2 linked regions of the Lytechinus pictus genome follow. The protein of the gene in region 2 binds, or shares a complex with, the protein of the main gene of each other region. Links are inferred from orthologs where the notes say so. Each region holds a gene or a part of one and is shown on either strand. Other genes may lie near its edges.

What was found. Proteins that work in one complex are often made in the same cells at the same time.
Region 1: the proteins of DNA repair protein REV1-like (region 2) and DNA polymerase kappa-like are in contact, whole or in part, in an NMR structure (PDB 2LSI), measured with the Homo sapiens proteins. The link is inferred for Lytechinus pictus from reciprocal best matches to the Homo sapiens genes REV1 and POLK. Residues at the interface, in NP_057400.1 of Homo sapiens: Asn1158, Leu1159, Ala1160, Gly1161, Ala1162, Asp1167, Leu1171, Leu1172, Glu1174, Trp1175, Thr1178, Ile1179, Met1183, Glu1185, Asp1186, Gln1189, Val1190; in NP_001374042.1 of Homo sapiens: Lys564, Lys565, Ser566, Phe567, Phe568, Asp569, Lys571, Arg572, Arg575.

The regions. Positions count from the first base shown.
Region 1 is NC_087249.1:24,850,983-24,858,061, reverse strand, and holds the start of DNA polymerase kappa-like, read left to right. Parts: upstream 1-4,003; 5' UTR 4,004-4,202; intron 4,203-4,857; 5' UTR 4,858-4,902; coding exon 4,903-5,059; intron 5,060-5,337; coding exon 5,338-5,467; intron 5,468-6,339; coding exon 6,340-6,451; intron 6,452-6,883; coding exon 6,884-7,036; intron 7,037-7,079. UniProt on the Homo sapiens protein: DNA polymerase specifically involved in DNA repair. Plays an important role in translesion synthesis, where the normal high-fidelity DNA polymerases cannot proceed and DNA synthesis stalls.
Region 2 is NC_087258.1:19,728,288-19,735,586, forward strand, and holds the start of DNA repair protein REV1-like, read right to left. Parts: upstream 3,089-7,299; 5' UTR 2,955-3,088; coding exon 2,762-2,954; intron 1-2,761. UniProt on the Homo sapiens protein: Deoxycytidyl transferase involved in DNA repair. Transfers a dCMP residue from dCTP to the 3'-end of a DNA primer in a template-dependent reaction.

The sequences.
Region 1 (7,079 bases), on a different chromosome or scaffold from region 2:
AGTTTGACAATAAATCCTAAACCATAGTGAAGACTTTGATTTTTCAAGACTAATTTCAAAAGTATGTTAATCTCTATTTCATAAAACTGACAGCAAGTGGATGATGTCAAAGGTATAGGGGCTATCAAATTGATGTCAACTTTGAAAAAAAATAACCAAAAGATACAAAAGATATAGGATTTTGATATTTTTCTTACTATGCTAACTATTCTATTAGATTATATTCTAAGGATAGGGTTAACTAGGCCTGCTGTTTTCCTTTGTAATTGCAAGGAAGATATATACACGCATGACATACTTATGATGTCATGTAACAAATATTAAAGAAAAGGGACAAATGGGGACATAATTATGACATCATCAGCCATGCACATCATGACGGTTTCGTCTAATATGCCAATTCGTCCAATAGCCAATAGCTATTTTGATCTACCATCAGTTCGTCTACTCACCACATGGTCTACTTTCATTTAGTCTAATGCCATTCCCTCTAATAACACGCGTTGGTCATATAGCCATTTACCATTTGGTCTAATTGGACTAAGTGTTAAATTCTGCAAAATGAATGAGAATGAAATGGATATTAGAACAACTGGTTATGAGACGAAATGGCCATATAGACGAAATGGTGATTAGACGGAGTGATGATCGATTGGACCAAATGGTTGTAAGACGAAATGTTGATGGACGGAATGGCATTAGAAGAAGTAGACCACGGTGGTGAGTGGACGAGTTGGCAATTCACGGTCATGACAGCTTATATACGTTTTCACAATATAATGGCAAGCCCCGGTGGCAAGCTTTGACATTCGATAACTTCATCATTTCTCATTATATTTTGATGAAATTCTCAACAGCGTTTTGTTTTTTCACTATATGCTTTAATTTCAGCTTGGAGTAAAGCTTGGGATCTAGAATTTTGAATCTAGAATCTTTTAAACTCGTTGGAGCCTATTAAAATTCCCTTCATTATCAAGAAAATTATATTTCACAAAGATGTTTAATAAAGCAGAAAGTTTGATTATTTTCCAATCAACGCAAATGAATTTAATATGTATGATATTTCTTTAGTCTTGAATCTTGAATTGTATAATTCCTTTTATTATGTTATTATAAAATATGATAAAGCAAGGTATGTTGTAATATTGCTTCAATTATAATGATAGTCACACTAGCGTACCTACGGGGGGGGGGGACAGAGGGGGCAGACTGCCCCCTCCTGACGAGTCACAACCCATGCAAGGGTCATATCCCTGCCCCCCTGACGAGTCTTGTAGACTTTATTTATTCAATTTTTTTTTTTTTTTTTTTTGCTTGTCAAATTTTTTTCTGGTACGAAATCCTTTATTTGTGTTTTTTTTTGCTTGTCAATTTTTTTTCTGGTACGAAATCCTTTATTTGTGTTTTTTTTTGCTTGTCAATTTTTTTTTCTGGTACGAAATCTTTTATTTGTGGTTGAAGACCTTTTTTTTTTTTTTTTTTTTTGCTTGTCAAATTTTTTGGCGGACGGTTTTGCCCCCCCCCCCGTGGAAAATCCTAGGTACGCCACTGTATAGGCACCTCGATCGGCCCTGCCTCGGCCTATATACTGACACCCCGCATCCCCGCATAACCTACCCAGGGGCCGCGGAACGGTTTTCAAAGTGGGGGGGGGGGGGGGCTGACCATGCAAAATTCACAATCATATGGTCATTTTTACGTTTTTGTACACGTTTTTTAAAAAAAAGTGGGGGGGGGGGCTGAAGCTTAAGCTGAAGCTGAAGCCCCCCCCCCCCAAAAAAAAAAAAAAAAAAAAAAAAAAAAAAAAAAAAAAAAACAGTCAAGTACAAACACTGCCTGAAACGATTATTGGCAAAGCACGAGAAGATTGAAAATATTGCAGGTCAATGGAATAATGTATCATTGATGGTTCCAAATAATATTTACAACATTTTCATGATCCGTAAAAGGGGCAGCCCTGATTTTTCCGAACCTATTTTTGGCAATGTCCCGTACGACACATGAAAATGCAAAAGTTTATCCTACAATTTTATTTTTGATGATGCAATTTCATAATATCAGTTTCTCTATCTTTGACCCATGGGTAATTTATTTATTCCATAAGGATCTAATTACTGCCTTTCATTTTTCAATAATTGTCGTATTAAAAGTTGTCCCGTACGACACACAATTTGTATACTGCATTTAATTGCAGGATTTGGATTCAGAAACTATAAATAGTAGGCCTGTTTTAATTTAAGTAATTGATTTGACATAAAGTGAACTGAAAAAGTACTTTTTTTCTCCATAGAACATGAAATAGGTGATTCCAACCATTTTAATTGACATCATGTAGGCGTATTCTTTTGTGAATCCCTTCAGCTAAACTGGTGATTTTCATTGGTCAGAGCAGGTTAATTTCTTTGTCATTGAGCATGTTATGTTTTATATATTGTTATTATTGCATTGTAAAATTTGTTGGAAAAATGAATGAATAAATGAATGAATGAATGAATGAATGAAAAAAAAGAAAACCTTTATAATTGATTCACTCTAGCCTAGAAGATGACTTCCTCTTGCATGCTAATGTGAAATTATTATAAGATATGTAAAAAAAAGTATTTACATATCAATCATCTGTTTGGACTTCCCTTGATGATCACTAATTTTTTTTAAATACAGTATTGAAACTCCTTACTTTTTCAAGTTGTAAAAAAAAATCTGGAAAATAAGACAAACCATATGGTTTCATGAAATGCAGAAAGGTTTGAAAAAGTAGAATCGCATTTCTTTAAAAAAAAATATTTTGTGGCATTACAAGTGACAGTTGTGAGTTGTGACATATACATTTTATATGAAAACTCCCCAAATCATAACATTTGGCAGCCCCATAATTTACACAAACAGTTTCATTCATTCATTGTTTAAATAGTGTATTAGAAATCATCAATTAATTCACTAAAATAACTTAGAAAATCAAGAGGGGCCTATAAGCTTTCGATCCTAGCAGAATCTTCGTCGGAGGCAAAATGACCCACAAAACGTCACGTTTTCAGCTCGTAAAAATGCTGTGAACCATTGTACATTTCCCGTCATGAAAAAAATGATAATATATTGCTCCCGATTGTATATATTGAGGTTACTTAATTATATTGTCCTGAATGACTACTTATTAAAAGGCTTTTCATTAAAAATTAAGAATTTAGGGGCAATGCTCCCCTTCTGATTGATAAAAAGTTAATTGTTTTATTCAGGCTGTCCAGTACAACACGTAAGTGCTGTTCAACACACAAGTGTCCCGTTCGACACACAAGTGTCCCGTACTACGACACATTATTTTGTTAATGATATATTGACAAAAATATTCAGATCAGCCACTAAAAGCGGTTTCTAACATAATGAATGTCTTTAGTTTGATAGGATTATCATTATAATCAGCCCAAAAAAGTGATTGAAGAAGTCAAAGAGACATAAAGTAAGAAAGTTTGGCTTCAATTTAGAGATGTCCCGTACTGGACACATTTTGAGTGTCCCGTACGCCACAATGTTCTCGAAAATGATAATTTGCTTTATTTATTCATGAATGTTTATTTTGCTTTCTTTCATAGATGTGTTTGTTCTTGAGTAATTGAATATCAATTTGAGTTCAGTTTCAATGAAAATTATCTGTCCAATTCACAGACTTTAGAGTACAAACTTGAGGTTTCTAAAAAAGCCACCTTTTCTGCGTCCGTATACGACACATTACTATTTTAAATCTGTATTATACAGGATGTAAATTCAAGTCATGTTAAGTCTAACTGGTTTTCCTAACACTCTGGTAGTACTTGATGATCACCTTTAGTTACTGGAATACTTTTTGTTTTTCTTGTAAAAAAACTGTCAAATGTTCTCTAAATGTCCCGTACGACACACGTGTATGGAATCATGGACCTATTCCATGATGGAATCACCCCTTTTCATTTTTGGCCACGCCCTTAAATTATCAGCTGAGCTGAGCTGAGGAGCGACTCCATCATAATCCATAGCGTTAAATCAAATACCGGTACCGTACGTACTTTATTATCGCGCGCCAGATCGCAGGCATCTCCCTTCTCATGAACTATGCCTATGAAGCCAAAGGCCCTTCATTTTCTGAATAGAAGCCATAGCTAGCCGGCCAACTGTCAGAATTGCCAGAGTACAATAAGAGGTTGCTGTTCGTTTCACCAGCTCTGCCTCTGGTAAGTCAAATTCGTGAAGTTTTCGTTTTTTTGTGGAAATCTCAAACATTCACTGTCTGCAGTGTGTTCCCACGAGTTGTTTTTCATGTTTGTAAGTAAACGGGGCATTGCAAGAAACTTGCGATCAATTGCAAGTCTAAAGTTGTTTCAGTCATGTGAAATAATACCAAAGAAGAAATTTTAATAAAACTTAAGATTTAAACAAAAGAAATTGAAAGTTGATATGTCAAAACAAGCAAATGTTTTTGATATTCAATGAAATCTCCGACTGATTAAAGATGAGACGAGAATGGAGAGAATGGAAATTATTAAGGGTGCCTTATGTCATGAAATGAATAATACTTAATAGGCCAGCAGTACAGAGCACAATATTAACTTCCCAAATCATGGAAAATATCACATTGATGCTAATGAAATAGACAAGTTTTCAGAAAGGAAAGATTTTTGATTAATCTTTAAGATGATGCAACATTCAGAAAAAAAAATCATGATTTGACTTGCTTAACAGATATCAGATTGTTAAATGTTACATGTTAATGCTATTGATACAGGGTATTTAATTTCTGTTTTATTATTATTGATTTGATTATTGCCATCCTTGCAGCATGAAGGAGGTCTTAAATATTCATACAAACTCTCCCCCTCTTACCTCAAGGTACTATAGGATAGGGTCCCCCACCCATATATATAGCCATCAGGAATGAATACACCAACATTGGAAAGTTTAGAGAAAGAGATGGATGAACAGGATGACGACAATGAAAACTGGTCGTTGCCAGCATCAAGCCTTCCAGGTCAGTCAGGTTATTGCAGCTCTCATCTTGCACTGACCAGCAGTAACAATCAACTTCTATCCGGTAATTTCTTTTTCTTCATTGATATGTTTACAAATTTAATTCAATTCAGTTTAAAGTACATTATCAAGCGTGAAGCCCACTTATGATTCCATTTTTGTTGAGAGAGAGAGAGAGAGAGAGATCTATAGAGAAGGGGGGGGGGGAAGGAGGGGATGGTATATTAAAATTCATAACGTGAAACAAAAGTAGTTTCCATTTAGTTTTGACTTTGCAATATGAAAGTTCATCATACTTTGTTTCATATGCTGTTTGCACTACCATGTTTATGTTGTTTCCAGGTAATAACAATGTGAAGGCAGTAGGCAGCATGGTTTCTAGTATGAAGCTAAACACAAACAAGGCAGGGATGGAAGGCTTAGACAAAGAGAGGATCAATAAAATCATCATGGAAGCCTCAAAAGGTTCAAGGTTAGAAATTTAAAGATAGAATGACGAGATGCTGAATGGAGAGAGAGGGAGACAGAGAGAGAGTGAGAGAGACTTAGAAAGGGGAGGGGGTAGGGTAGAAGAAGGAGAGGGAAAAAAGGGGACTGAGGGGAGGGCATGGCCATATGCTTTTTACTTCTCAAGCTCTTTTGCGAACAATTTAAATTCTTTGAAATTAATATTGAATAGAGATACCTGATTAAGATGGGGAGATGTGTCCCTTCTGTTTTCTTTTTTTCTTCTTCCTTTTTTATAAATGCTTCTCTTTTGGCCAAGCTCAATTTTATCTTCATCTCATTGGGGTTAATAGGAGGATTTTACCCCCCCCTCTTTTGAAAATTATGTGATTGTTAGAATAATAATAAGATGAATTACTATAGCAAAGTCACTACACACATAAACTCTGCTGTACTAGAAGTTAGAAACTTAACAAATATAACTGTTTGCCTTTTTATCATTTGTTTTCAAAGTTGATACGATTGTATTTTTTAAAAAGTGATTATATATGAATTTGTATTCAAGTACTTACAAAACAGTTTCTGGCAGTTACAATATATAGTGTAATGACTTGAAACGAAAGAAACTATTGGCAAAGAACAGGAAAAGAAGGAAAACACAGAAGTAAAGGCTTATAATAGTATACTAAAAAAAAGAAGCTTTGTATGTTGATTGTCTTAAATCATGTATTTTTAACTTGGCTAGTAGCCCATTATGTCTATTTCAACAAATATTATGCATTGCCACTTTTCACCAGAGTCTTTCCTGTTTATTACTCCTTGGGCAACATGCCAAGTTAATTACTTTGAAAGATGCAATCTTCTGTATCATTACACTGTATATTATCATGCATTTAGGTATTATGAGAATCAGAAGAAAAGAGAGCAGCAGACGACGGAGAGGATCAACAAAATGATGGAGAAACTTTCTCGGCTGACAGAATCTGAAAAACAAGCTGCTTTGACTCAGGTGAGTTGATAGAATTTGTTTGTGTCACCTGTCTAGAAATTTCATTAATAAAACAATACCTCATGTTGTTGCATATATATGTTGTACTGCACACAAATTTCTTGGGTTTGTATATGTAGCCTTTTCTGTGTTTTAAGATTTTCAAAAATCTTATTCCAGCTAATAGATCTAGCTTCAAAATACTAAAATATCCCAAAGCCATAGATTGTAAGAACTTGATTGTTGGTATTCTCATAATAAAACCTAGGTTTATGGAATTTTTTGTATTTCTGGAATTCATAGTCAGATCTCTTTGTGATTGTGGAATTCATATGGACATTTTGCTATTAAAATCAATCAAGAATACTGAGTTTTATCATGTATGATAGAACAGTTTATATTTGTCAAATTAATGTATTCAATAATTCTTTGTGTTTATTGAATTTATTCCAGGTTGATGAAATGGTGACAGATCTGGAGCTGAGTAGAGATTTGAGCCGGACCATTGTTCATCTTGATATGGATATGTTCTATGCTGCTGTTGAAATGAGAGACAACCCTGAACTAAAAGATAAACCAATGGCAGTCGGTGGCATGGGTATGTTGGTAAGTTGTCATCATTTTTGTTAGGATTCTTTGATTGGTACAT
Region 2 (7,299 bases):
TTTAGAGATGAATCAGGGAGAGTTATATGTGTTCATGTGAATATTGAAAATAACAGTTTTCTTATTTTAAATTTATATGCTCCAAATGTGGAAAATTTACAAGTACAGTTTTATAGAGATTTATTAAAAATATTAGAAACAGAATGGGATGGAAAGGAAAACATTATCATTGGTGGAGATTTTAATTGTATTTTAGATGCACAACTAGACAAAAAAGGTGGGACACATTTGGTCAAGAAAAAGGTTGTGCAAAGGATTAAAGACATTATAGTCCCTTTTGAATTGTTCGACATTTGGCGCAGCAGAAATATTAATCGCAGACAATTCACTTGGAGACAAAACACACCTCTTATTCAGTGCCGGCTGGATTATTTTTTAATTAACAGAGATTTGAAACATAAAGTTCAAAAGGTGAATATTGTTAGTGCATTACGCACAGACCATTCAGGTGTGAACCTAGAAATACGTTTGAATAAAAACATGCGAGGGAAAGGCTATTGGAAGCTAAATACCTCACTTCTCCTAGATGAAGAATATATTAAGGTTATGAAGGAAAATAGAGTATTCGTCCATGGAACCAAAAATAAAGTGGGATTGGATCAAGTATAAGATACGATGTTTTAGTGTGAAGTATTCTAGTAACGTACAAAAGCAGATATCTGATATTGAACAACAATTAAGAAGTAAATTGAATTTACTTGAAAATAGACTTGCCATCAGCGAAGAAGAGGGTATTATTAATCAGATAGAAAAGATAAAGGAAGAATTGATAGAAATAGACAATAAAAGAGTAGCCGGGCTAATGGTTAGGTCAAGGAGTCGATGGTACGAAAAGGGAGAAAAGAGTAATGAGTACTTTCTAGGATTAGAAAAGAGGAATAATGTAAAGCAGCTGTGTTACGGAATATATGTAGAAGGCCAGTTAATTACAAATTGTAAAGATATTTTATCTGCTCAAAAGCAGTATTATGAACAGTTATACACTTCAAAAGTAAGGTTTGGAGCTGGAGAACAATGTAATTCGTTTCTACAAAAAATTTGTGTTCCCATGTTAAATATTGAAGAAAGGGAAAAGTTGGAAAAACCAATTTCTAAAAAAGAATGTAGAGAAGTACTGAATGATTTGGCCAAAAACAAGAGCCCGGGAAATGATGGTATCCCAGTGGAATTTTATTTATGTTTTTGGAATGATTTAGAAGCTTTTTTATGGAATCGATATTATACAGTTTTGAAATAGGAGAATTGTCAACATCACAAAGGCAAGCTATCCTTATTCTGATTAAGAAAGAAGGCAAAGATGAAAGAGAACTTAAGAAATGTCTATTGGTATTAATTTCAAAAGTTAGATTTTCTGAGTAAAACCTAACTTCTTCAGTCTTTTATTTACAAAAAATGTCATCTCTATACCAAGATTTGTAAAAAAAAAAGTGATGGCCTACAGTCTACTGCCCTGTTTAGTGTTGGCTCTTATTTGGGGCGTTGGGAAGTATACCTCAAGTAGAAGAAGTGAATAATAAGAGGAAATCTTTTGAAATTTGAATTCATTTCCTAAGTAAGATTACTTTTTACTTTATGTGTTATCATAACACATAAAATAAAAAGTAATCTTACTTAGGAAATGAATTCAAATTTCAAAAGATTTCCTCTTATTATTCTCTGCCATTTTTCATCTCCTCTACCAGTTTTGCCTCAGCCATTTCTGCTTCTAATTAAGTATTATAGCCATGGCCATTTTTAGTATATTTACAATACCATTTTTGCCTCTGCAACTAGTATTTTTTACCTTTGCCATTTGATGCTCAACAAAACTGTTCAGAAGTGTCAGCATAAAACAGGCTGATTTAGGGGGAAATATGGCACATTTTTTCGGGGAAGTTCAGGCTACTAGAAAAATGTGATCTGAATTGATTATTAACTTGTGTTTGGCATGTATGGAAAGAGAAAATTCAGGGGCTTCTTTTGACAGTAAGGACAAGTTTATATGATCATTTTGAATTAGGATTTAGAGATAAATTGCAAACCCTTATTTTTGTGTGTGTTGAGATTGCCATTTCTCCATGCGTTTTCTATGGGAAAATGACATCTCTGTTTTGCACAATTTTTTTCACTTTGTGACTTTGTCGCAATTTTTCATTGTGATCTGGTTTCCAAATCTTTATAAAAATCACACCATCAGATAGAGCATAAAAAATCCTATTGGACTCTTTATGGACAAGTTTTTGGCATTAATAATAAATTTATAACAGCTCTCGGAAGCTGAAAATTTGGATTTGTGTGTGTCCATTTCTTAACTAGTCTATGGCAGAGAAATGCTGAAAATTGACCTAATTTCATTCTTCTTTTTTGCAGCCAATAATTTGAATTTTTTCAAAAATGTGTCTGAAGGTCATTTCTCTTCAAATTCACAAAGAAAATGTGATATTTTCTTGAAATAAGAAAAATAATTTTTTTCTCCAGACACCCTACTATAATAATAGTTAGGCCCTAGATCTATTCAGATTCGGTTAAGAAAATTAATCGGATCTATGACTATGTAAAGATTTTGAGCTCGAGCTTGTTGGGGTTTTTTAACGGGGTAGACTTTAGATCTATTATTAATATTAGATCTAATACCTCCACAAGGCACAAGTTCACAAGCAGTCAAGCATACACTTGCGCTCAGCTAAGTCAGAGACAGAGTCAGAGCTGCAGAGTGCGCGACCGACCACCAACCAACGGATCAGCTATTTCGAGTCTCGGACAACCGCCGGGCTGAACATACCTGTGTAACCGTTCACATGGATGGTGACCCCGCGAAATATGTCCGTCGACGTTCCTGACTTCTCCTTATTTGTTGGTGCATCACTTCGAAACTGCTCCTCAAGTTTTCGAATTTTCTCAGACATGTAACCTCCATGACTTTGATTCTCATTTTCTGACTTAGACTTATTCTTTGAAGATCCTCTTGAATGCATTTTGGTTGCCCCACCTTCTGATTTTTTTTTATCTACCTCGATCTCGAGCGAGTTCTATCGGTATATATATCGCGCGGAAAATTAAATGATCTTTAATCAATGTATGACAAGCCAATTTTCTTTTTTTCATCAATATTTGAGTACATTTCCTGAAGTTAAATTATAAATATATCCACTACTTTTTGTACTCATCTTACTTTAAAGTAACTTAAGATGCAATACTTTATTTGAAGATAATCTTTCTATACACTCTCATCATACCTCGCAAGTATCATGGAAATAATATTTGGGCACTTCATAGTCAGCTGTATTACGTCACGCCTCCCTATATTCGAGCGAGCGACTTGTTGAGGCTTGACCATAGAGATGTATACTAATTACATGGGCTTGACTGTACTTCTTCGCCTGACAGGGTTCCGTTTCCCGCTGAAAGAGAATTGTTATAAGAACAATTACTTCTATAACAAGTTTACTATCCGTCTATCAACCAATCAAATTGAATGATTTCATTAGCTTTAAACTCTTATAGCAATTTTTTTGTGATAACTTATTTTCTGAAACAGTTCTTAGAGGCTAGACGTGGAATGGTCGATTGCAGGATTTTCCAAAGGGGGGGGGGGCAAATTTTTGGAGGAAAATTTTGACAGGAAAAACAGGTTTTCAACCACAAATTAAGGATATTTCGTACCTGAAAAAGTGGTCGATCGGCTCGGATCTAGTTGACAATGACATAGGACCTACAGCTGGGGTCTCTCTTGCAGAAGCAGTAGAGAGAAGAATGGGCAATAGGGATAGGCAGCACTTCCGTGACAATTTTTCTTAAGTCTTGCGTTTTACTTTATGACGTAATAATATGATTTAAAGAAATTCGGACAAGGAATAGCAAGTTATGATATTTTAAAATTTCCACTATTTCGGTCAAACAGTAAGATCTATGCACATAGACGTGCATGTCTTCATGAAGAAGCAATGAGTCCTCAAAATGGCTCATTTTCAGGTCAGTTTTTCGATCAGCGCTCGCTCCGCGTTTGCATTATTGATCCAGTCCTTTGAAGTACTAAGCCTTGATTATTGAGGAATAAAACTAATATTTTACTTGAAACTTCGGTCTTCAAAACTAACCCCCACTGTCGGAGAGACGTATATATGGCTAGGGTTCCATATGCCCCCCCAAAAAAACTAAGAAAGAAGTGGAAATGAAAGGAAACATAACGGTGAAATGATAATATTTCAAAGTATGCCAAAATGTATCACAAAACTATAGATTTGTATTTAAAAAAAAAAAAAAAAAAAAATCGAAAATGTTTGCTCACTCGCTTCGCTTGCAGCTATTTTGATCTTTAAGCCAAAACTGGTCATTAGAATGTTACACTCATAAAGCTTCTGCCCCTTAAACTTGAAAAAACAAATCATTCACAGTGATCAATATTTTTGCCAGTCATCCCTCAACCACTCAAAATGCAAGGTTGTACATTATGGTCGTAGGAATAAAAATTTTCAATATCAGATGCCAACCGAAGAGGGAATATGTGAAGTCAAACCAGAAGATAGAGAGAGAGATTTAGGAGTCCGGGGGGGGGGGGGGGGGCTCTTCCATTCACGAGTGGATACCATGCGCGACCATGGGGTCTCGAAAAGCACCCTAAACACGTAATTTCCATATTCTGAAAATGCACCCCTTAACAATTAGTATTGGCGTGTGCCACCCTTAACAAGTATTGGAAACAAATCGATACTCGATCTTGGCAAATATTCCCTGAAATGAAACCCTAAACAAGTTCAGGAATGTTTTATTGTAACGGGTCCTTCGGTCGTCGGCTTTACCTTCTTTGGTTTAGTAAGACCCCGGTAAGACCCCACCTACTACACCTCGCGCAAATCGGACTCTATACACGAAGTGTTGGGGCAAAAAGGACATCCTTTATAAAAACATTTTAATTTTGTTTTATCATCCCCGCAAACTCGACCCTAAACACGTAATTTTCCGAGCGAAATAGATACCCTTTTTCATTATTTTTGTGTTTTTGACACCCTTATTACGTTACGTACGTAACGTGCCCTATCGTGAAAAAGACATCCCTTTTACGTGTTTTTTTGGTCGCGCATGGTATCCACTCGTCAATGTAAGTGGCCCCCCGGGTTTAGGAGTCGTGTTCGACAAATCCCTCTCCTTCAGTGAACATGTCGCTGATATTACAAAAAGAGCCAATACCAAGCTTGGCATAATTAAGAGATCCTTCACGGCTCTAAATGAGAAGGGCTGGCTCAAACTCTACAAAGCTATTGTACGTCCTACCCTAGAACATTGTAATCCTGCTTGGGCCCCAGTCTTAAAAAAAGATGAAGATCAACTAGAAAAGATACAGCAACGAGCGACGAGACTACTTCCCAACATTCGTCATTTAGATTACCCTGAAAGGTTGATAATTTTTGGACTCCCTATACTACTCTTTCATACAGAAGGCAAAGAGCAGAATTAATTCAAATCTTCAAAATCACAAGAGGTATTGATCGGATAGATCTGAGTAGCCTGTTCCATCTTGATGATAATAAAAGGACCAGAGGTCATAGTATGAAATTCAGGAAATACAGATGTAGATTACAGACACGGCAATATGCTTTTACAGTTAGAAGCATTAATAACTGGAATGCTTTGCCTGAAGTAGCAGTTTCTGCTAAATGCATTTAAATCTGCAATCGAGAGGCACTGGAAATCCCATCCATTAAAATATTCACCATACCAGAGACAACCCTACGTGACGAGGGACAAATAAGCTTTATAGCTTTATGTCTCTATATACATCCAAGTAAATCAAAGTAAGTAAATGAACACCGATCGAAACCCGTGGGGGGGGGGGTGATGTGCTCTTTTCAGGTGTGGGCCCGTGCTATGTACAAACCCCTCACTCTGGTTTCAAGGTAGACCAAAATGTAATGATATTCTGCAGATAATGTTAACTTATTGGTGTTCCTATTATAATTATCATCATGATTTGTTATTATCAGCATGTTATCATGGATTAACTTCATTTCAATACAATACAATATGAGTATTTATATAACGCTTTTCATAATGATTGTATCACAGCGCTTTACAAATGAGCAAAATTAAAATTGTGAAAAAATACATACAAATGAAAAAAAAGTACAAATAAATTTGAAAAAAAAAATTAATTAATAAAAATCTTGCAGTTGTAAATGGGTACTTTCGATACAAACCAAATACAATAATCTCACATCACGATTCATCAAAACAATGATTTGAACATTTTATGTATGTTTTCTTGAGTATATGTGACATTGAGTGTGTGTGAAATTAAATGACCTGTGCGCAGATACACACACGCAACCCACACCCTCTTACAAACAGTCACACCGACACTGGCGTAAAAATTGATTTTTTTTTTTTTGGGGGGGGAGGGTAATTGGTTTTAGCAATGTTCCGCGACCAAAAGAGGAGGGAGAAAAAAGAGAAGGAACCGAAGAAGGTTATTATGAAAAATAATTATGTCAGCCTTTATAATTATCATTACTTTAAACAGGTAAAAACAAATTGCCACCTCGCTTCGCTCGCTCGCAATGAATACAATTGCTTCCAATATGCCATGTTCGTCTGCACTCGTCCCATGCGCGACTGGCGTAAGGGGGGGGGGGCGGGGGCCATGGCTACCTTAAATTTCACGAACCTAAGGAAATAGCGGGGAGGAGAAAAGGAAAAATTGTAAAAAAAATTGATGTAAATAGCAATTCTAAATCTATCAAAAAAATGAATTTTTAAAAAGGTTAAAAAAAGGTCATTTCGCACGCTCGCTCATTATGCCACTGATTCAGATGCAAGAGATGCCCCCCCTCCCTCGAAAAAAGTCATATATCTCTACCAAAATATATTATAATTCTATCTTGCTGTGCAATGGTAGGCCAATCATAAATCAGACGGAAGAATGCATCATCGATGAAAAAAAATGTATGTGATTGAAGGAGATGTTAGTATAATTAAGAGCTCAAAACTCTTTAATTATATTACTAATTTCCCCATATTTTTTTAATAGTGATTATTGTAAGGCGACACCGTGGATCGATACCAACATTATTTAATTTGTCTGCAATATGATTCCAACAATATACCTTGTTGGGTAGAGAGAGAGAGAGAGAGAGGGGGGGGGGGACAGAGAGAGAGAGAGAGGAGGGGGGGGGGGGGCGCAGAGTTGTTAAAGGCGGGCTGTTCGTAACGATTTCGTAATAAAAGCTAAATATCAAATTGAAAACAAAAATTGTAAAGGACTCTTTGTATGATTCCTGTATCGACTCTCACTCAACTCGGTATACAAATAACCGTATAATTTGA